Linked DNA regions of Macaca mulatta. The protein of the gene in region 5 interacts with the protein of the main gene of each other region in a pairwise test. Links are inferred from orthologs where the notes say so. Each region holds a gene or a part of one and is shown on either strand. Other genes may lie near its edges.

The links.
Region 1: the proteins of TSC22D1 (region 5) and SETDB1 interact in a two-hybrid assay, tested with the Homo sapiens proteins (2 studies listed by BioGRID and IntAct). The link is inferred for Macaca mulatta from reciprocal best matches to the Homo sapiens genes TSC22D1 and SETDB1.
Region 2: the proteins of TSC22D1 (region 5) and NTAQ1 interact in binary tests that used the Homo sapiens proteins (3 or more experiments, as listed by UniProt). The two-hybrid records come from large-scale screens. The link is inferred for Macaca mulatta from reciprocal best matches to the Homo sapiens genes TSC22D1 and NTAQ1.
Region 3: the proteins of TSC22D1 (region 5) and APLP1 interact in a two-hybrid assay, tested with the Homo sapiens proteins (2 studies listed by BioGRID and IntAct). The link is inferred for Macaca mulatta from reciprocal best matches to the Homo sapiens genes TSC22D1 and APLP1.
Region 4: the proteins of TSC22D1 (region 5) and CCDC90B interact in a two-hybrid assay, tested with the Homo sapiens proteins (2 studies listed by BioGRID and IntAct). The link is inferred for Macaca mulatta from reciprocal best matches to the Homo sapiens genes TSC22D1 and CCDC90B.

Annotation. Positions count from the first base shown.
Region 1 is NC_133406.1:116,154,919-116,158,497, forward strand, and holds part of SETDB1 (histone-lysine N-methyltransferase SETDB1), read right to left. Parts: coding exon 3,550-3,579; intron 3,273-3,549; coding exon 3,156-3,272; intron 1-3,155. UniProt on the Homo sapiens protein: Histone methyltransferase that specifically trimethylates 'Lys-9' of histone H3. H3 'Lys-9' trimethylation represents a specific tag for epigenetic transcriptional repression by recruiting HP1 (CBX1, CBX3 and/or CBX5) proteins to methylated histones.
Region 2 is NC_133413.1:133,855,571-133,859,149, reverse strand, and holds part of NTAQ1 (protein N-terminal glutamine amidohydrolase), read right to left. Parts: intron 2,552-3,579; coding exon 2,403-2,551; intron 1,795-2,402; coding exon 1,670-1,794; intron 884-1,669; coding exon of another isoform or gene 801-883; exon of another isoform or gene 779-800; intron 1-778. UniProt on the Homo sapiens protein: Mediates the side-chain deamidation of N-terminal glutamine residues to glutamate, an important step in N-end rule pathway of protein degradation.
Region 3 is NC_133424.1:47,114,966-47,119,033, reverse strand, and holds the start of APLP1 (amyloid beta precursor like protein 1), read right to left. Parts: upstream 2,809-4,068; 5' UTR 2,746-2,808; coding exon 2,599-2,745; coding exon of another isoform or gene 2,552-2,598; intron 1,770-2,551; coding exon of another isoform or gene 1,714-1,769; coding exon 1,570-1,713; exon of another isoform or gene 1,526-1,569; intron 680-1,525; exon of another isoform or gene 569-679; coding exon 436-568; intron 229-435; coding exon 116-228; intron 1-115. UniProt on the Homo sapiens protein: May play a role in postsynaptic function. The C-terminal gamma-secretase processed fragment, ALID1, activates transcription activation through APBB1 (Fe65) binding. Couples to JIP signal transduction through C-terminal binding.
Region 4 is NC_133419.1:83,821,759-83,826,006, forward strand, and holds the start of CCDC90B (coiled-coil domain-containing protein 90B, mitochondrial), read right to left. Parts: upstream 2,841-4,248; 5' UTR 2,475-2,840; coding exon 2,375-2,474; intron 1-2,374.
Region 5 is NC_133422.1:23,894,606-23,898,955, forward strand, and holds the start of TSC22D1 (TSC22 domain family protein 1), read right to left. Parts: upstream 2,841-4,350; 5' UTR 2,680-2,840; coding exon of another isoform or gene 1,930-2,679; 5' UTR 1,576-1,929; coding exon 1-1,575. Other genes in the region: uncharacterized protein LOC106994248, read left to right, coding at 1,930-2,679, 3,369-3,572. UniProt on the Homo sapiens protein: Transcriptional repressor. Acts on the C-type natriuretic peptide (CNP) promoter. Acts to promote CASP3-mediated apoptosis.

The DNA.
Region 1 (3,579 bases), on a different chromosome or scaffold from region 5:
CTGTGTCTCTTCTCTGGAAGCTTTTAGGATTTTTTTTCCCCTCAGTGTTCTGACATTTTATGATAATGTCTCTAAATGAGAATCTACCTTTATCCTTCATTATTTTGGGACCTAATTGGCCCTTTCAATTCAGAAACACAGACCCTTCAATTATGGGACACTTTCTGAATTACTTCACTGATGCTTTTCTCCTCGCTGTTTTGTTAATTATGTATCTTGATCACTATGTTTATTAGTTCACGTGTTTATATATACCAATTTACCATGCTATACTCCACTCTTTTGTTGTCCTCCTCCTTAAAGATGAGTCACGCTCTGTCACCCCAGGCTAGAGTGTAGTGGCGTGATCATAGCTCATTGCAGCCTTGAACTACTGGGCTCAAGTGATTTTTCTGCCTCTGCCTCTCAAGTAGCTGGGACTACAGGCATGCACCCACCATGCCCGGCTAATTTTTTAAAAATTTAGGCCAGGCACAGTGGCTCACGCCTGTAATCCCAGCACTTTGAGAGGCTGGGGCGGGCGGATCATGAGGTCAGGAGATCGAGATCATCCTGGCTAACACAGTGAAACCTTGTCTCTACTAAAAATACAAAAAATTAGCCAGGCCTGGATTAGCGGGTGCCTGTAGTCCCAGCTACTTACTCGGGAGGCTGAAGCAGGAGAATGGCGTGAACCCGGGAGGTGGAGCTTGCAGTGAACTGAGATCACGCCACTGCACTCCAGCCTGGGTGACAGAGCAAGACTCCATCTCAAAAAAAAAAAAAAAAAAAAAAATTTATTTTTAAATTATTTATTTGAGACAGAGTCTTGCTGTGTTGCCCAGGATGGAGTGCAGTGGTACAATCTCAGCTTACTGTAACCTCTGCCTTCCAGGTCCAAGTGATTCTCCTGCCTCAGCCTCCCAAATAGCTGAGATTACAGGCGTGCGTGATCATGCCTGGCTAATTTTTGTATTTTTAGTACAGATGGGGTTTCACCAAGTTGACCAGGCTGGTCTTGAACTCCTGACCTCAGGTGATGCACCCACCTTGGCCTCCCAAAGTGTTGGGATTACAGGCGTGAGTCACTGTGCCTGGCCAACCATTTTTTTTTTGAGATGTAATTTCACTCTTCTTGCCCAGGCTGGAGTGCAATGGTGCGGTCTTGGCTCACTGCAACCTCCTCCTCCTGGGTTCAAGTGATTCTCCTGTGTCAGCCTCCCAAGTAGCTGGGATTATAGGTGCTCGCCACCATCCCCGGCTAGTTTTTGTATTTTTAGTAGAGATGGGGTTTCACCATATTGACCAGGCTGGTCATGAACTCCTGACATCAAGCAATCTGCCTGCCTCGGCCTCGCAAAGTGCTGGGATTACAGGCGTGAGCCACCATTCCTGGCCCCAACAATTTTTTTTTTAGACACAGGGTCTTACTATGTTGCCCAGTCTGGTCTCAAACTCCAGGCCTCAAGCAATCTTTCGGCCTTGCCCTCCTCAGTAGCTGTCCTCAAACTCATGCTGGTTCTACCTCCTCTGCTCAACCTTTAAATGTTGGCGGACCCAGGGCTTACTCCTGAGCCACCTTCTCTATTATCAACGTTGTGTCTAGGTGAACTCATCCAGGCTTTGAATATCATTCCTGTGCTGATGATTCCTAAATTTTTATATCCAACTCTTACACTTCTCTCCAGAAATCCCAGTGCCTTCTTGACGTTTCTACTTGGATTGCCTGACAGGCATTTCGGACTTAACATGGCCAAAACAAAAACTGAATTTCACTCAAACCTATTACTCCTTTGGTCTTCCATCTCAGTAAAAAGCACCAAAAACCACTTAGATGCTCAAGTCAAAAATTTAGGAATTGTCTTTGCTTCTACTTTTTCCCCCGACTCCACAATCTATCCAATTCTGTAGATCTATTAATGCATCCCAAATCTATCCTTCTTACCTCTACTGTCACCTCCATTCTATTGCAAGCCATAGCTACAACCATGTCTTTCTCTGCTATACTCCTATGATGATCTCCTAATTGGTCTTCCAAGATCTACTTTTGCCATCCTAAGACCTATGATCTACAAAGAAGCCAGAGTAATCTGAAAAAGGTAGGTCATATCACTTGGCTGCTTAAAATTCTCTAAGAGCACCATGAATTTGATTCTAACTTTTCTTTTTTCTTTCTTTCTTTTTTTTTTTAAGGCAGAGCCTCGCTCTTGTCACCCAGGCTGGAGTGCACGGGCACGATCTCGGCTCACTGCAACCTCTGCCTCCTGGGTTCAAGCGATTCTCCTGCCTCACTCTCCTGAGTAGCTGGGACTACAGGCGCCCGCCACCACACCTGGCTAATTTTTGTATTTTTAGTAGAGAGAGGCTTTCACCATGTTGGCCAGGCTGGTCTCAAACTCCTGACCTCAGGTGATCCACCTACCTCGGCAACCGAAAGTGCTGGGATTACAGGTGTGAGCCACTGTATCAGCCTGATTCTAACTTTTTTCATTCTGGTTTATAAATCCCTATGTAATCAAGTCCCTGCCTACTTCTCTCTGAACACGTCACTTACAAGAGTAAATCATAATCTGTTAAGACATTCATTTAGCTATGAAATTAAGATAATCTTTTTTTGCAACAGAAAATTGCTAGACACTATTCAATCATCCTATGTCTTCATTTCAAGGAAAGCCCAAGAAAAAAAGTGTTTGAGAAGTCAGGAAATAAGATCTAATTAATAAAATGCCTCTTAGGCCGGGCGCGGTGGCTCAAGCCTGTAATCCCAGCACTTTGGGAGGCCGAGACGGGCGGATGACAAGGTCAGGAGATCGAGACCATCCTGGCTAACATGGTGAAACCCCGTCTCTACTAAAAATACAAAAAAAAAAAAACTAGCTGGGCGAGGTGGCGGGTGCCTGTAGTCCCAGCTACTCGGGAGGCTGAGGCAGGAGAATGGCGTAAACCCGTGAGGCGGAGCTTGCAGTGAGCTGAGATCCGGCCACTGCACTCCAGCCTGGGCGACAGAGCGAGACTCCGTCTCAAAAAAAAAAAAAAAAAAAAAAAAAAAAATGCCTGTTCTGGTATTCTATTTTTGGTTCCAATTTTTAGATTTCTGATGATTTCTATAAGCAGAGAAAAACAAGAACATGCTCCTCAGTCTCTCTGAGGTATTGTGCTATTCCTTGACCACTTACCCTGTGGGTAGACACTCTTCTAGTCTCTTGTACTGGTAGCCAGAGTTAGGGTTGATTTGGCCTCCTGGGGTACAGGCTGTAGCCTGGATAGTTAGTTGATGGCAGGCACACTTGGACCTATATGACAGAGAGAAATAAAGGAAAGGAGCGGGGGGATCAGAGAACAAAATAACACAATACACATGTACCCAGGGTTGCTCAGTGTGGCCATGTCAGACTCCAGTCTCCCTACCTCATAGCTTTCATGGAGGCCTTATAGCACGAGTTCCAGGTGAGGGAGGAGGTAAAGGAAGATGGGGAAAGCAGTACAGATACAAGGGAAAGGAAGAGGTGAAAAGGAAGACAACCATAACAAAGTTGGAAGCAGGGGCAGCAATTCTCCCCACCAACTCACTTGTCCCGACACCCATCCTTGCAGTCACAG
Region 2 (3,579 bases), on a different chromosome or scaffold from region 5:
CTAAATGCCTGCTATGCACTAGGCTCTGTCTTAGGTGCTCACATCTCGAGGGGAAACAGGTAGCTGCTAAAGGCACACTGTGCCCAGACAGGCCCTGTAGAGCAGGTTGCCAGAGATGCTAAGGTAGACCCCTCAAGCCCTCTCCTTACCAGGAGCTTCCCCAGTTCTCACACTGAGGCCAGGAAGCAGCTCTGTACACCAATAAGCAATTCCAATATAAATTTTTTTAATTATGAGAGCTTTTCATAGGGAGCCTCAAACATCAGAGTTTGAACCCTCTCTTAGTTCCCTCAAATATGCCAAATGTATTTTTTAGTTTCTTCCTTGTTAAAGTATTTTTTTCTTTTTCTTTTCTTTTTTTTAGACGGAATCTCACTCTTGTCACTCAGGCTGGAGTGCAGCGGTACAATCTTGGTTCACTGCAACCTCCGCCTCCTGGTTCAAGTGATTCTCCTGTCTCAGTCTCCCAAGGAGCTGGGACTACAGGCACAAACCACCACGCCCAGCTAATTTTTGTATTTTTAGTGGAGACGGGGTTTCACCACATTGGTCAGGCTGGTCTCGAACTCCTGACCTCAGGTGATCCACCCACCTCAGCCTCCCAAAGTGCTGGGATTACAGGCATGAGCCACCACGCTCAGACCCTTGTTGAAGTACTAACACTACTGCCCTACTTTTCTGACATGCTGCAGAGCTCACAGAGCACTTTTACACAGACTGTATTTTCTAGGTGTTGGGATGATCTCACCCCTAAGTGGGACTGTTGAGAATTACTTACAAACATAAATAATGCTTCAAACTCATATGAATGCCAAACAATAGTAATAGGGTGAAGGAACCTTTATCTTCTTAAATGTCAGGAAATTATCAACTGGACTGATACCTAAAAGCACATAAATGAGACAAATGGTACAATCAAACCTGCTAGCGCTCACCTCCCTCTAATGCAGATTTTATTATATAGCCAAAGTGACATTTCACACATCATAAGGATGCAATGGGGATTTCTTTCACCATAGCACAAAACCCTACCATGGCAAGGCGCTACTAGTCCCGCTGTTACATGACACAAGCATGCGAGTCTCCTGATGTTCAGTGTCCCCGCAGTAGCTACATCCAATAATCCAGCAGTTTGCAGGTGCTATGCTTCTGATCCTTAACACACTTTGTCTCCCACAAGTTCTCATGCCTTCCAGTCCTATTCCCTGTGCCTTGATTTCTGAATCTAACACGCACACAGAAGTAGTATTTCCTATGACCTCCTTATTTATGGAATTTTTTTTCTTTTCTTTTTTTTTTTTTTTTGAGACGGAGACTCACTCTGTCGCCCAGGCTGGAGTGCAGTGGCCCAATCTCAGCTTACTGCAAGCTCCGCCTCCCGGGTTCACACTATTCTCCTGCCTCAGCCTCCCGAGTAGCTGGGACTACAGGCGCCCACCACCTCGCCCGGCTAATTTTTGTATTTTCAGTAAAGACAGGGTTTCACCATGTTAGCCAGGATGGTCTCGATCTCCTGACCTCGTATCCGCCTGCCTCGGCCTCCCAAGGTGCTGAGATTCATGCATGGAGTTTTATTCAAAGAATGACCTGACTTTTGTCCTCTGTTAAAGAAAAATGCTGATGTGTACATGATCAATCAGAATCCCTTTGAGAAGGCATCCTGGCTCACCTCCAGTCTCAATGCAGGGATACGGCGGCGGAGGCTCTCTCCAATTCCCACTCGAGTCTTTCATGTGAGATCGGTCAGAAGCAAAGTTCTTCAAATATGAATCTGCACGGATCACTCTAAATTTCCTGCAGACAAATCAATATACACTCACATTAGGGAGGTGTCATGTTTGAAATTCCAACCAAATTTTTATATGGACTCATTTCCTATGACATGTACAAAACTACTCATGCATTTCTGTATGGTTAGTAACACAGGCAACTTTACTATCTATTAGAGAAGCATAGGAAATGATCAACTAAAACCCGAAACAGAAAGACAAAGGCACAAAAACATGTCTGGTTGCCTTGATGTACTCAATTTGTGTATCAAGGGCAACGGGCATGATTTTCTGATGCTGCCTTCACAGCCCTCTCAATGGTGACACCAGGTATCCCCACAAACCCCCAAACAAAAAGAGTATAAGAAAAATCCCCAACCTGCTTGAAATTAAATGTGTGGGATCTCAACACACAAAATTTTAAAAGAATGCCAACCTTTTATATGATAGATAACTTTTAAAGTTTTAAAACATTTTCAATCTCCTGTGTTGCAAATACATCATTCTTAAACATCAACTCAATGGTGATGCCAGACGAGATCTTTACAAAACAACTGTCAAAAAAAAGAACCTCTGGGGAATCGTCAAAGTCTTACTTCAGAAAATAAGTAAATCCATGCTGAATGTCCTCACCTCCTAAACTGTGGGTGAATGTCATCATCAGACTTAAAGGCATCTTCTACATAAGTGTCAAAGGGGCAGGGAAATGGCAAGACAGTATCGAGATCATAAATGAAGCTCTGTCCTCCACTTGAAACATGAAGCAAAACAACATGGTAATCCTAGAAGTAAAAGTTGCTAAAGTTAACCAAGTTACTTCATAATGATGAAATCCCAGTATTCAGGCACACACATTATCACTAAAAAGGATATAAGACTGCTACAGCCCTCCTTATAATAGCAAAATAAAATAAAGCAAACACAACACCCTGAAAACATTAAATGTCCACAGATAGGGAAATGGTTAAATAAATAATGGAAATGTTCATAGTCATTAAATGCACATCCTCTGAACCTGCAATTTTACCTCTAGGAAACTTTTTTGTTTGAGATGGAGTCTTACTCTATCACCCAGGCTGGAGTACAATGGCATGATCTCAGCTCACTGCAACCTCCACCTGCCGGGTTCAAGCAATTCTCCAGCCTCAGCCTCCTGAGTAGCTGGGATTATAAGTGAGCACCACCATACTCAGATAATTTTTTGTATTTTTAGTAGAGACGGGGTTTCATCATGCTGGCCAGGCTGGTCTTGAAACCCTGACCTCAGGTGATCCACCTGCCTCAGCCTCCAAAAGTGCTGGGATTACAGGCATGAGCCACTGCACCCAGCTCCACCTATTTTTTTTTTTACTGAGACAGAGTCTTGCTCTATCACCCAGGCTGGAGTGCAGTGGCATGATCTCAGCTCACTGCAACCACCACCTCCTGGGTTCAAGCGATTCTCCTGCCTCAGCCACCTGAGTAGCTGGGACTACAGATGCCCGCCACCACGCCCATCTAATTTTTGTATGTTTAGTAGAGATGGTGATTCACCACGTTGGCCAGGCTGGTCTCCAACTTCTGGCCTCAAGTGATCCCCCCCGCTCAGCCTCCCAAAGTGCTGGAATTACAGGTGTGAGCCACTGTGCCGGCCCCACCTGCTATTTGTTAAAAGCTACCTGCTTATAAAGACACATGTGCGCATTCAGAAGTACATTTGCATGCATGCGAATGCAGAGGAAAACGTCTGCAAGGATGTCCTCCAAACTAATAACAAAGCAGGCTTCTGGGGGTCAGCCTGGAGAGGAGGAGGATTTTAATTTCTAGTTTG
Region 3 (4,068 bases), on a different chromosome or scaffold from region 5:
TCCCAAGTGGGAAGAGGATACTGGTGGCCCAGACCCTCGGTTCTGGTGGAGGAGGGTGTTGGGGTCCTGGTTCCTGGGTTCTGGGGGCTGGGGACGGGTGGGCCAAGGTCCTGACCTCCTGTGCCTCCTGATGCCTCCGGGTTGAACTCTCGCATTGGTCCATGCGCTCCTGGTGCAAGAACCGGCAGCCTTCAGGCACCAGCAGGGCCTCGCTCACAAATTCACCAGCTGGGGAAGCACGGGACACCAGGGTGAGACCCTCCTACAGCACCAACCCCACCCTCCTCAGAATCCAGATATTTTATCCTCAGAGGCTTCTCTGCCCCACTTAGGACACAAGCACCCACCCCCTTAATGTGGGCCCGAGAGAGGGGCTCAGAATTTTGCCCCTCGGAAACTCCCACCTCAGTTCCCCTCTCCCCGCCTGGGACTCACGCAGGCAGCGGAAGGGCACAACCTGGTGGTGGGGGTGGGTGCAGCTGCCGCTCCGGGCACCCCCGCACCAGCGCTCCATGGGGATGGCCTGGGTAGCCTGCTCTACACGTGCGATCTGCAGCTCCGGGTACATCTGGGGGGGTTAAATGGGGGCAATCAGCCCACAGCCCCGCCTCTGCCAGCCACCCCTCTCCAGTAGTCAGGTCCCCTTTCTTCCCTCCCTCCCTCCTTTCTCTCTCTCTCTCTGTCTTTCTCTCTTTCTCTCTTTCGGAGATTTGCTCTTGTCGCCCAGGCTGGAGTGCAATGGTACAATCTCGGCTCACTGCAACTTCCTCCTCCCAGGTTCAAGCTATTCTCCTGTCTCAGCCTCCCGAGTAGTTGGGATTACAGGCACGCACCACCATGCCCGGCTAATTTTTGTATTTTTAGTAAAGACAGGGTTTCGCCATGTTGGCCAGGCTGGTCTCGAACTTCTGACCTCAGGTGATCCGTCCGCCTCCGCCTCCCCAAGTGCTGCGATGACAGGCGTGAGCCACTGCGCCCGGCCAGGTCCGTTTTCAAGGCTATCTTTTTTCCTGTGCTGTTTCTTTCTGAAGGTCCCTCTAAGCCCACCTCTCTGGTCACCCCTCCCCGCAGTCAGATTCGTCTCCCCAAAGGTCTCACCCTCCTTTTAGCCCTGCCTTTTCCTCTATTTCGCCTCTCCAAAGCTCTCCCTTCCCATTACAGACTTGTCTTTTCGTGGCCACGCCCCCCAGCTCTCCGCGCTTTCATTGGGCGCCACCCCTTTCCCCATCTCGCTGGTCCTTAAGGTCTCTTTCTGTCTTAGCCCCGCCTATCCTTTCGCCACTCCCCACTACACCTCTGCTTTTTACAAAGACCACCAGATTCCTAAATTCCACTTCTTCTCTGGCTATCTCGCGGTTCTCCCCCTTTCCTGACTTAGTATCTCAAAACAGGTCCCCTGCCCTAGCATAGTTGCGCCTCTTTATTGGCCACGTCCGCTAGCTTCCACGTCTTAGATCCCGCGGCACCTTGGACCACGCCTTTTTCAAGTGTAGCTTTCTACGGGCGGCCCCGCCTCGTTTGGGGCCCGCTTTCCCGCTGGCCCCGCCCCTCCCGCTCGGCCCCGCCCACCTGTCTGCAGTACTCCAGCACGCGCTGCGGGTCCCGGAGACAGCGTCGAGAGCGCTGTGGGTCTGGTTCCCAGCGGCCGGTGCGCAGGTCCCGGTGAAGGGTTAGGCGCCCGCATAGTCCAGCCACCTGGGCCGACCCCTGGGCCTGGATGGAAGTGGAGGGGATAATGAGGGCCCGGGGGGCGTTGGCATGAGGGTCCCCTGGTTCTTTGCTCCCTAGGACCGAGACCCCCAGCACCAGCCCCCTCCCCCAAGCACCGTTGTGCACACCGCCTCCATGGAGGCACCGTTCCCTGGGAAACAGCTCCCGTAGGGCGGGGGCGCCCTAGCTCTCCCGTTGCTATGGCGACCCGGGTCCCCCGGGATTCTTTCTGCCTTGTTGCCGCGGAGACAGACTCCGCCCCGACCCCAGCTCAGCCGCTCTGGAGCCCGAAGGGGTTAAACCTGAATCGCGGAGGAGGCCTGAACCCAGGCGTTCTGGCCCCTCCTCCCTCCATCCCTTGCTCAGGCTCCGGTTGCAGGGTGCAAAGCTGATAAGGCCTGGCTTCAGGGGCCTACAGTCCTGGACACCAGGTCCTTGAGGACTGGAGAGCTACATCTGGTTGGGGTGGGTGGTGACTGAAGGACCGGACTCCTGGGTCCTGGGAGGCTGCAAGGGCCTCCATATGGGTCCAGAGAATACAAGGGGTCTGGATTATTGGATCTAAGTGCCTCGCTGCTTGGTGGGTCCTATGTCCAGGAGGGAGGGGGTTGGGACCTAGTCACCTGGGTCTGGAGAGGGGGCTGGACTTCTGGGACCAGGGGCTCTGAATAGACCAGTTCCTATGCTCGGGGTGGGAGGGGGCTGGGACGTCGGAGGATGGGGGAGCTGGGGCCTGGAACCCTGGGTTCATAAATGCGGTTGGGGGCGCCTGGGGGCTGACCACCTGGCTGGAAAGACCGCGCTTTCTGTCCTGTACATGTCCGCGCTGGCGTCCAAAGACCCGGTCCCGCCCCTTCCCCCATCCCCCAGGACCCGGCCCGGCCTCACCTCGGCCGCGCCGGGGCTCCCACCGGCCAGGCTCCCGATGGCGGGCTGCGCGCGCAGAAGCAGCAGCAATAGTGGCAGCAGCAGCGGCAGCGGCGGCTGGCCCGGGCGGCGACTTAGACCGCGAGCAGCGGGGCTGGCTGGCCCCATGTCCCGGCCCTTGAGCCCTCACGTCCCCTGCACTCCCGCCCGGCCCGGCCCCAGCGGTGACAGGAGCTCCCAGCGCCACCGCCGCCACCTCCTCCTCCCGCCGCCCCCGGGCTGCGCCGGCGCCGCCAGCCACGCCCCGCGCCGGCCCCGCCTTCCTGGCCAGGACAATAGCGTGGCGGCTCCGCGCAGAGTGGAGCAGCTCTGGAACCCCGGGCGGGAGCCTGCGCCAGGCCCCCGCCCCTGGAGATTCCAGGCGTCCCGCCCCATGAAGGGCCCAGCCAGGAGTCCTGCTATGGGCTCAGCCCGTTGTGGATTTTGAGTCCTCCCGCAGGACTCTCACCCTCTTTAGACCCAGACACTCACAGTTTTGTCCTTCTCCAAGGATGCAAGCATCAGAGACCCCCGTCCCCTAGTAAATTCCTCTGTTGAGGGCTCAGGAATACAGGCCTCCAAAATGTCCCGTCAAGATGGCAGCAGTTGAGACCCAGTCCCCTCCTCTTTCAGATCCAGAAGTCCGGGCACCTTCTCTCTCAGGACCAGAGACCAAGCCCCCAGCCCATTCTCCCTCAGAACCAGGAGTTCAGTCTTCCTGCTCTGCTTCCCAAGGGTCCCAGGGGCCTGGATCTTTAACTCCTAGCTCAAGGATCCATGAACCAAAGCCCCCGGGACCTTTCTTTAAGGATCACCCAAGCAGGCACCAGCACTATGCCCACTGTGGATGCAGCGCCCCAGGATTAGGGTCTGGATCTCCACCCTTGCTGTAAGGACCAGGGGATTGCCATTTTCATGCCCATAGTCTCCTTCTCTGTCCCACTTCAGGGCTCACTCGTTTGTCTCCTCTAATGAGAGTGTAGAACTCTGTCTTTCCCAGGACCCCTGGGGCAGCCCTGTCACATGTGTGCAACTGTGTGGACATCTATGCGTGTGTCTGTGCATACATGCCAATGTGTGTGTCTTTTCTGTTTGCAACTCGTGTGTGTGTGTGTGTGTGTGTGTGCGTGTGTGTATGAAGATGTATATTAAAAGAGTCCATGACTGGGCACAATGGCTCACGCCTGTAATACCAGCACTTTGGGAGGCCTAGGTAGGCGTATCACTTGAGGTCAGGAGTTTGAGACCAGCCTGGCCAACAGGATGAAATCCTGTCTCTACAAACAAATACAAAAATTAGCTGGGTGTGGTGGTGTGCACCTGTAGTCCCAGCTACTTGGGAGGCTGAGGTGGAAGGATGGCTTGAGCCCAGGATGCAGATGTAGCAGTGAGCTGAGATGGTGCCACTGCACTCCAGCCTGGGCCATAGAGCCAGACCTTGTCTCAAGAAAA
Region 4 (4,248 bases), on a different chromosome or scaffold from region 5:
TAGAACTTTGGGTTTCACTCCACTTTGGAAGCCATAAGCAACTGGAAAAACCATTGGATATTCATAGTAGGGTTTCATAATCACTATTCCAACTGGTCATGAGCAGTTCAATGCATAAGCGCTCATTAAGAATGTCTTTACAGGCCAGGTGCAGTGGCTCATGCCTGTAATCCTAGCAGTTGGGAGGCCAAGGCAGGCGGATCGCTTGAGCCCAGGAGTTCGCGATCAGCCTGGGCAACATGGCAAGATCCTGTCCCTACAAAAATTACAAAAACTAGCTGGGCATGGTGGCATGTGCCTGTAGTCCCAGCTACTTGAGAGGCTGAAGTGGGAGGATCACCTGAGCCTGGGAGGCAGAGGTTGCAGTGAGCCGAGATGGCACCAAGGCACACGAGACTGAGTGACAGAGACCCTGTCTCAAAATAAATAAATAAATAAATAAATAAATAAATAAGTCTTCGCAGCCATATTAATAGGTAGGGGAAATGAAGTGCCCAGAATCAGTGTTTCTAGCTCATAGTGGAACAACAGATCCTTAATAGCCTGAAAAGTTTTGTACAGGCTTAAACATCTGTACAAAACTCCAAACCTTTCCTTTCATTGTTACTACTTTTGATTCTTTGATAGCTATATCTTGCGGATTTGTTTGTTTGTAATAGTGAGATACAAACTCAAGGGTTTAAAGGTTTAACCAGTTTGGCAAAACTACTAAGTCATAGATTGCGGACTGGAACTCTGGCCTATCTTGCACCAAGCTCCTCTTTGCTGGAAAAGGTCAAATTTTACTTTTGAAACAAACAAACAAACAAACAAATATGTAAAATGTTGTCCCAATAAATTTAAGTTGCAAGTTTTATATGAATTTACTGCTAATTTTACAGCTGAAACACTTCAGTGTATAGTCAGTTACTTTTCTGTCAGGAACTCAATAGAACAGGCATTACAGCATATGTTCTTACCTGCTGGTCTACTAACGTGCTACACTAGTTGCATCATGATAACTAAGGTCCTTCCACTGGTCAGAGGTCAAGGTTTTCAAATCCCCTGATTATTAACATTATTAGGCAAGTTTAAACTACTTGTACACAATAAACATTCAATATTTGTTTAGTGAGGAAGGACACAAATCCTACTAGTTGTAAGAAGAGATTTAAAGTTTCTCCAAGCACACTCAGATTCAAGTGGGAAAACTTTTACGTTAAAACATTAACATTTACTTATGGTCATGTATTTCGCATTATGATATGCACTTCAAAGTTCATTCTCTAAAAACATTTAATTTTGTTTTCATTTGGATATGTGAAGCACACCTGTAAAAGTCAACAAAGATGAAAGTTGGATGATTTCCTGGAATTCAAAAGTGCTACCTCCTTTTTGTAAAATCCATCATAATGTGTATTTATGCTAAACACCCAAATACCTAACAAAAGAGACCTTGTGAATGATCCTGGCAGCTAAAGAGCAATCTTACAGACGGATGATCAACAACTGCAGTTTTGACTGCAGCTGTTACTGGTGTGGATTAAAATTAAACAATGAGCAAAACAGCACAAGTAACAATATGGAGCATAAATAACAGCGTGGAAGTGTTTGGGTACCGACTGGCTCAGGGTACCTGGCACTGAAGATTCAAGAAGGTGAACAGAGAATGCTAAGGTTGATAAGAGGTGCCTATTCGCCTATTTTGTGGACAATCTTAAAACGGTTTAAAAACTAGGAGGGAAGTTTAAAAACGGGGGGTAAAAAACGACAACAAGAAAAACCTAGCCCTAGAAACGTTTCTCGGAATAAAGTTAGATGTCTTCAGGACACCCTGTTAACAGGGGTGCCAACCGGTTGGAAACTTGTAGGTTCCAGTATTCACTTTTTTCCCCAAAGTCTACAATGTGACTGAAAAGTACTGAGAATTCCAGCGAGAATAAGGCAGACGTGATCTGAAATTTATGATGCTGTCTACCAAAAACTTGGGCTCGAGGCCAGCACCTAAAAAAACAAAATCTAAAGATCAGGCCACAAAAGAAATCAGGACACCCTCAAGCACAGATTACCTTACGCTGCCTCCAGACAAACCTACCAGATTACTAGCCTCTTGTCACCAAAAAAGGGAAACAAGGGCTGAGAAAGAAGCCGGGCGCGAAGCCCTGGCCTTCGAAGGTTCGCTTTAAGAACAGAAAGGCACTGATTTCCTCAGTCCTCGCCCCTTGGGGCGAGCTGGGCAAGTCGGGGCAGCAGGCAGCTGTGTCGCCAGCACAAGGCGTGAATCGGGGAGGAGGGCGTGGCACCTTCTCTTCCCGTTCGCTCGAGCAGGCGCGACCCACGGGCATCGTCTCCCTAGAGAGCACTCAGACATCTATGACACGACGCCTTGCCTCACCTCTCCGCAGGGCCGGCGAGAAATGCCCGCGGGGGCTTGAAACCCAACGATCCCCTCTGCCTTGGGAGAGCAAGAGCCGCCAAGCCTGGCGACTATTCATGGCCTCAGAGTTTTCCGGCGGACGGGAGGCGGAAGACGGGGTAAATCTCGCACAGGCTTTCGGGCAAGGTAGTTCTGGCACCGCAGGAATGCTGGGAATTGTAGTTTTCGCTCTGTCACAAGACCACCTTCCAGCGCGGGCGCCACAGTGGTGCCACGAAACTGGGCCTCTTCGCAGGCCGACCCACAGTTCACGAGCAATGCTCAGCGCTGTCCCACTACTCCCACCGCCCCTTCCCGACCTGTGAACGCCTTTACCGTCTTAGGAAGGCGGGATCTTGTCGGAGAACCTTCTGGCGCCTGTTTCCTGGCAGCGGCGCATAGTCCAACAGCTGGCTCCCCCAAGATTGCCAGCGGCCATTAAGCGCTTGGGTCGGGGGAGATGGAGTCGTATTTAGCCGCACAGCAGTCTGGGACCTGAAGTTCTCGGCCGCTGAGCATTCTGGGTGATTGCGTAGTGCGGAGGCCAAAGAAACCTTCTGGGAAGTGTAGTCCAGCAAGTCGTTCACTGACCGTGCAGCGTCACATCCTGCTGCTTCGCCGTCTGGTGCACGGGAGGACCAACTAATTTTAGTCGGTATATTCTTTCTTTAGGGAAGATGAATTCCTCCGTTTCTGCGAGAAATTCCTTAATTTTTCACCATTTATCCTTCCCAGACCTCACTCAAGACTTTGCTGCGCATAGTAAAATGCTGAAAGCATCAATGCACAGTAGTTGTATTAAAATGCACCAATACTCATGAATATTCTCGGTAAATCCTAAAATGGCACACAGTTGTGCGGTTGCAGTGGCTTATTCTCGCAAGATTCTAAACAATTACGGCTAGGTTTCTATCTATATGTATTCAAAGCTTTGTGAGAGCTACGTAACAAACACCATTTCTAAGGCCCGAAGCACACTGAAAGAAGAACAAAACTTAATTTCCGCCCACAAGTGCTTTAACAGACAATTCATGAAGAGGAAATATAAATCGCTATTTAAAACATTAGGATGGCCAGGAGTGGTGGCTCACACCTGTAATCCCAGCACTTTTGAGAGGCCGAGGCGGGCAGATCACCTGAGGTCGGGAGTTCGAGACCAACCTGACCAACATGAAGAGACCCTGTCTATATTAAAAATACAGAATTAGCCAGGCGTGGTGGCACATACCTGTAATCCCAGCTACTCGGGAGGCTGAGGCAGGAGAATCGCTTGAACTCTGGAGGCGGAGGTTGCAGTGAGTCGAGATCACACCATTGCACTCCAGCCTGGCCGACAGAGCGAGATTCCATCTAAAAAAAAAAAAAAAAGGGAAAAAAGTTTAATCTCACCAGTTTCAAAAAACAAAAAGCAAAACCCTAGAGTATGTCGAGGTTTGGGGTCCCAACGATCCCAACAGGATGTAAGCATAGTACTCAACAGGTGCTTCTTCAGCTCACACCCCTCTGTGCCTCTCCCCCTTTCCTCATCTAATGATATTCAGTGTCTCTTGTTTCCATGTTTACCATCATATAGTCAATGTTTAGCTCCTAAGTGAGAACATGTGTGTTTGGTTTTCTGTTCTTGGTATTAGGTTGCATAGGATAATGGCCCCCAACTCCATCCATGTTGCTATAAAGATTATAATTTCCCTATTTGTATTGCTGCATAATATTCCATGGTGTATATGTGCCACATTTTCTTTATCCAGTCCACTGTTGATGGGCACTTAAGTTGATTTCATGTCCTTGCTATCGTGAATGGCACCACAATGAACACACAATTCCATGTGTTCTTTTTTTTTTTTTTTTTGTCT
Region 5 (4,350 bases):
TGCTGGAATACTCTGTGGACCAGTGCTACCAAAATCCATCTGCTGGAGGGTCACACCTTGGAGAGCTGGTTGTTGCTGTTGTTGCTGCTGCTGCACCACCACAGTAGGAGCTCCCATCTCTCCACTTCCCACACTCTCTGTATAGTGACTCAGTGTGCTGACACTACTGCTCACTGAACTCCCACTAGTGCTCTCCCTTTCAGAAGTCACTTCTATCGGATTTTGCTTTACAGTCTCCACCACTTTATTTATCAGCACACCTTCTGTAGCAGGTACAGCATTTTCTTTTTCATAGAACTCAGTGCAAGTCCATCTACCTTTTTTAAAGGGCTCAGAACTAGAATCTAACTTCACAACTCTGAACCTCGAAGTGTTAACTGTTGGTTGTTGCTGCTGACTTGAAACCGATCCCCCAGTCATCCCTGCAGCTGCAATAGGGACACTGCTAACGGCAGCGGAGGAAGAAATAGTACCATTGCCCATGCCACTCAAGATATTCACATTAACACCACTGGTAACTCCAGGCCCAACACTCACACTAGCAGCACTAGGAATATTGCTTGTACTTATATTAGCATTACCAAGCATGCTGCTTGTCATATTAGGATTCAAACTACCCACAGCAGTAATATTATTTACTGTACTAGTGCCAGTAACAGAACTTACACCTATTCCACCTGTAGTACTTGGAGCACGTATATTAGTCATTACAGATGCAGGTGAACCACTGGATGATACAGCAGAAGTTGGTGCAACTGGTGTGATACTGTCAGAGCTTCCAGTTGTAGAGAGTTTTCTAGATACTGGGCTTGAGGGTGGCCCACCAGGAATGGATGCACTGGCCACAGCAACATGAGATGGATGGTGGTGCCCATGTTGGAGGTGGTGCCCATGATGAATGTGATGGTGGTGATGGAGGTGGTGTGGATGAGCATTCCCATTGATCACAACATTCTGTTGTGGAAGGTGAGGCAAATGAGGCTGAGGAAGGTGGGGCTGGTTGGGAGAGACTGCCCCAGGTGTCTCGGCTTCCTGGAAGTTATTTAGGGTCTCTTCTGAGGAGCTGCGTTCGGGCTCCCCTAAGTCAGTAGCCCTGGAAAGTGACACATCAAGGATCTCCGAAGAAGAGAGATCTTCTGTGTGAGATTCATCCAAATCATCATAGCTCTCAGTGTCCTCTGCTATACTGTTGTTAGAGCTGATACTAGCGGAGATCTGAGCAGGAGTAACGCTAGTTATCTGGAAGCCACTTTTCTTTTTCATTTGAGTTCCGCCTGGCGCAAGAGGCTGTGCCTGCAGCTGAGCCTGCGAAAGGAGGTTCAGGCTTTGTGGAGGCGGAGGCTGTGGTCCCGACGTAGATGCTGCAGGGGGCGGCGGCTGAAGCAGCGACGGAGGCGGAAAATCCTCGGAAGATGTGGCACTACTACCGACGCCGGTACCTGCTGCATTGAGAGCAGAGGCGCTGCCACTACCGCTGCCCCTTCGAGGGAACACTGCCGGGTGCGCCATCTTCCTAGCGCTAATGTCTGCAGCGGCGGCGGCGGCCGCGGCGGTGGACTCAGGCGGCTGGTGCATTGTGTTGGGTACCGGGGGGGGGCCTAGGAGGCGAGTGCAATTTCCTTCTGCACCGTAATCTTTGTATTCGAGACGCCGGAGAGGAAAACGGGACCTGACGCTCCGCCTGGCGCGATTCCTCCTTCTCCTCCTCCTCAGCCGAAGGCGCCGGTCGCTCCTGCCTTCGAGAGCGAGCTTCGGAAAGGAGGATGAACGAGGGTGAACAGGGCGGCCGGGGACCCGAAGGGGGGACCCCTTCAGTCCTTCGCCATTCACTTTCCCCTGTAGCCTCACACCCCCCTTTATATTCCGTTTCACGTGGGGTGCGGGGCAGGAGGGAGGGGGAGAGCGCAGGAGGGGGAGGAAAAGCGAGAAATGCCCACCTTCTCCGGCCAACTCCGAAGCCGCCTCAGCCCCCTCCTCCCGCCGCGGCGGCGGCCGCTGCAAAGCCCTCCCGGCCGCTCTGCACGGAGGCAGCGCCGAGCAAGTGTCGCCTTCCCCTCGCCACCCCCGGGGCCGCCGCCGCAGGCGAGCCCCGAGCTCAGTGTCGCTCAAACCTCCCCTCCCGGCCCCGCTCGGCCCTCCCCCCGCGCCCCGCAGACCCTTTCAAACCCCCTGGGCTCGCGGCGGCTGCTCGGTGAGGAAACGCTGGCCGCGGCTGGGGCCGGGGCGACGCGGCTGCGAGCGGGGCGGCGGCGGGGCGCCCGGTACGGTGAGCCCAGCAACGAGGCGCGGGCGGGCGCGCAGAGACGCCGGGTCCTCGCGGAGCACGGCCGGGGCGCGGCGGCGGCGGTGGCAGCGGGAGCCCAGGGACCGCTCCATCACTGGCAGCCATGGAGCCCGAGCATTTTCCTCCCTCAGGGCAGGCGCCTCGGCTCGGCACACGTCCTCGGGGAGGAAGGGGCCGGCGCCCGAGCCTCCCCGGAGGGCGGCGGGACGTGCGCTAGGGCGGAGGGTGCGACCCTCTCTTGTCCTCTTCCTCCGCAGCCGGCTCTTCCTCACCCCGCTGCTCCCGCGACCGAGCGGGAGGGGGCCACAGGCGGCGGCGGCTCCTTTCTCGGCGGCGTTGGTGGCCAGACGGGCTGGTGCAGCGACTGCAGCCGACGCCGTTCAAAGGAACGAGAGGTGGGGTTGGTCGGTGTCGGCAAACGGGGCGGGGGAGTGGGTGGGTGCCGAGGGAGGGTGTCGGGCGGGGAGGGGGCTATGGTGGTTGTTACTAGTGCTCTTCTTCGGCTCCCCCGGCTCTACCGTATCCCCCAGTCTCTCGCGGCATCGGGAGGGGAGGGACCAGCGCGGAGCGCAGGAGGAGGAGGGGCGACCGCCGGCGAGAGGAGGCGGTGGTGGAGGGGGAGGGGGCAGGCGGAGGAGGAGGAGGGAAGATGGCGTCTGCGCATGCGCCTCGGCGCCGCAGACATAAAGCCGGGTCTGGCGGGGCAGGAGGCGGCGGATCTTCGGGCCTGTGCGAGCGCCGGGTCTCCCGACGGAAATTGCCGAAGGCTGGCGGAGGCGCCGAAGCCGGGAGTGGTGGAGCCGGAGGGGATAGTGGGGGTGGGGAATTTCGGCCAAAGGAGCGAATCCGGGTCGGACTGCCTGCTTCGGCCCGGTGGGGGTGGGCAGGGTGCGCGCCTGCCGCGCGCGCAGGCTAGGTGTGTCCGCTCTTTTCACACTCGCGGCCGGCGCGCGCGGGCACGCGGCAGAGGAGGGGGCGCGGCGCGGAAGGGCCGGCGGAGGCGGCGGGAGCGCCGGCGCTTGGTGTGCGCGCCCTGGGTGGTGTCCCCCGCCTGCGGAATGGGTAATGAGGCTTTTCTCCGCAGCAACAGCATCACGAGTTTCAGTTCCCAGGAGCCCGCCGCCGCCGCCGCCGCTGCCACGACATGAGTCAGGCTTTCTTCCCCGGCGCGTGGCGGAAACCTCCTCCCCCTCGCCGCACCTGGGCTCGCCCCCGGCCCTCGCCTCCTCGGGGGATGCCCCAGCGCCGGGAGCTGCGGGGTCTACGGAAGGCCGGTGGCTCCCAGTGATAGGTGTTGTCTTTTGTGCAGTGCAGTTGCTGCCATGCGGTCTCCTCGCCCTTCCACGGGCAGGGGCGAGGCAACCGGACAGATGTTGCAGCTGTTTCCAGTTAACTGCCTTAGCTCCTCTGGGGTAGGCTCTTCTCTAACGAGGAGTGGTTGCAATGCATCCTTAACTGGAGGACACAGGCAGGCCGGCCCTGTAAACGACTGATCTCAACAGGTGTCTCCAAGCAGCGACGCCTTTTTCGTTCATTGTCCTGGCTATATCCCCATTGGTTTGACTCAAGAGGCAAGGTGGCCCGGACATGTGAGCAACACAAATGATAAGCATGCCTTTTAGGGCTAGAAAAGAAAAAGCCATCAGAAATTCCAGTTTTAAAACACACACCCACACATATTACATTTCATGGGTCCGACTATAGTTCTACAGAAGCAATGTTAGGTTTGATTGGGGGCAATTTACTGGCAGTTACTTTATTGGCATTTCATGTCAAAACCTAGTTCTAAGCATTTCTTACCAATAATCGAGAATGTCCGTCTCTCCCAGGAATTTAAAAATGATAAAGCAAGCCCAAAAGCTGTAGGGAGGAATTTTCATTTTGTTAAATTTAGGTTAGGGGAATCGGCGCTTATGGTTAGACCTCTGATTCAGGAAATCTCACGGATTTACATTCCTATTTCAGAAGATTGTTAAAGCAAAAACGATTGTCATTTGCAGTTTTGATACACCTCTAGTTGTCAATTCAACTTTTTACCTTTAGTTTTCGCTGAACTCTTCCCCTTG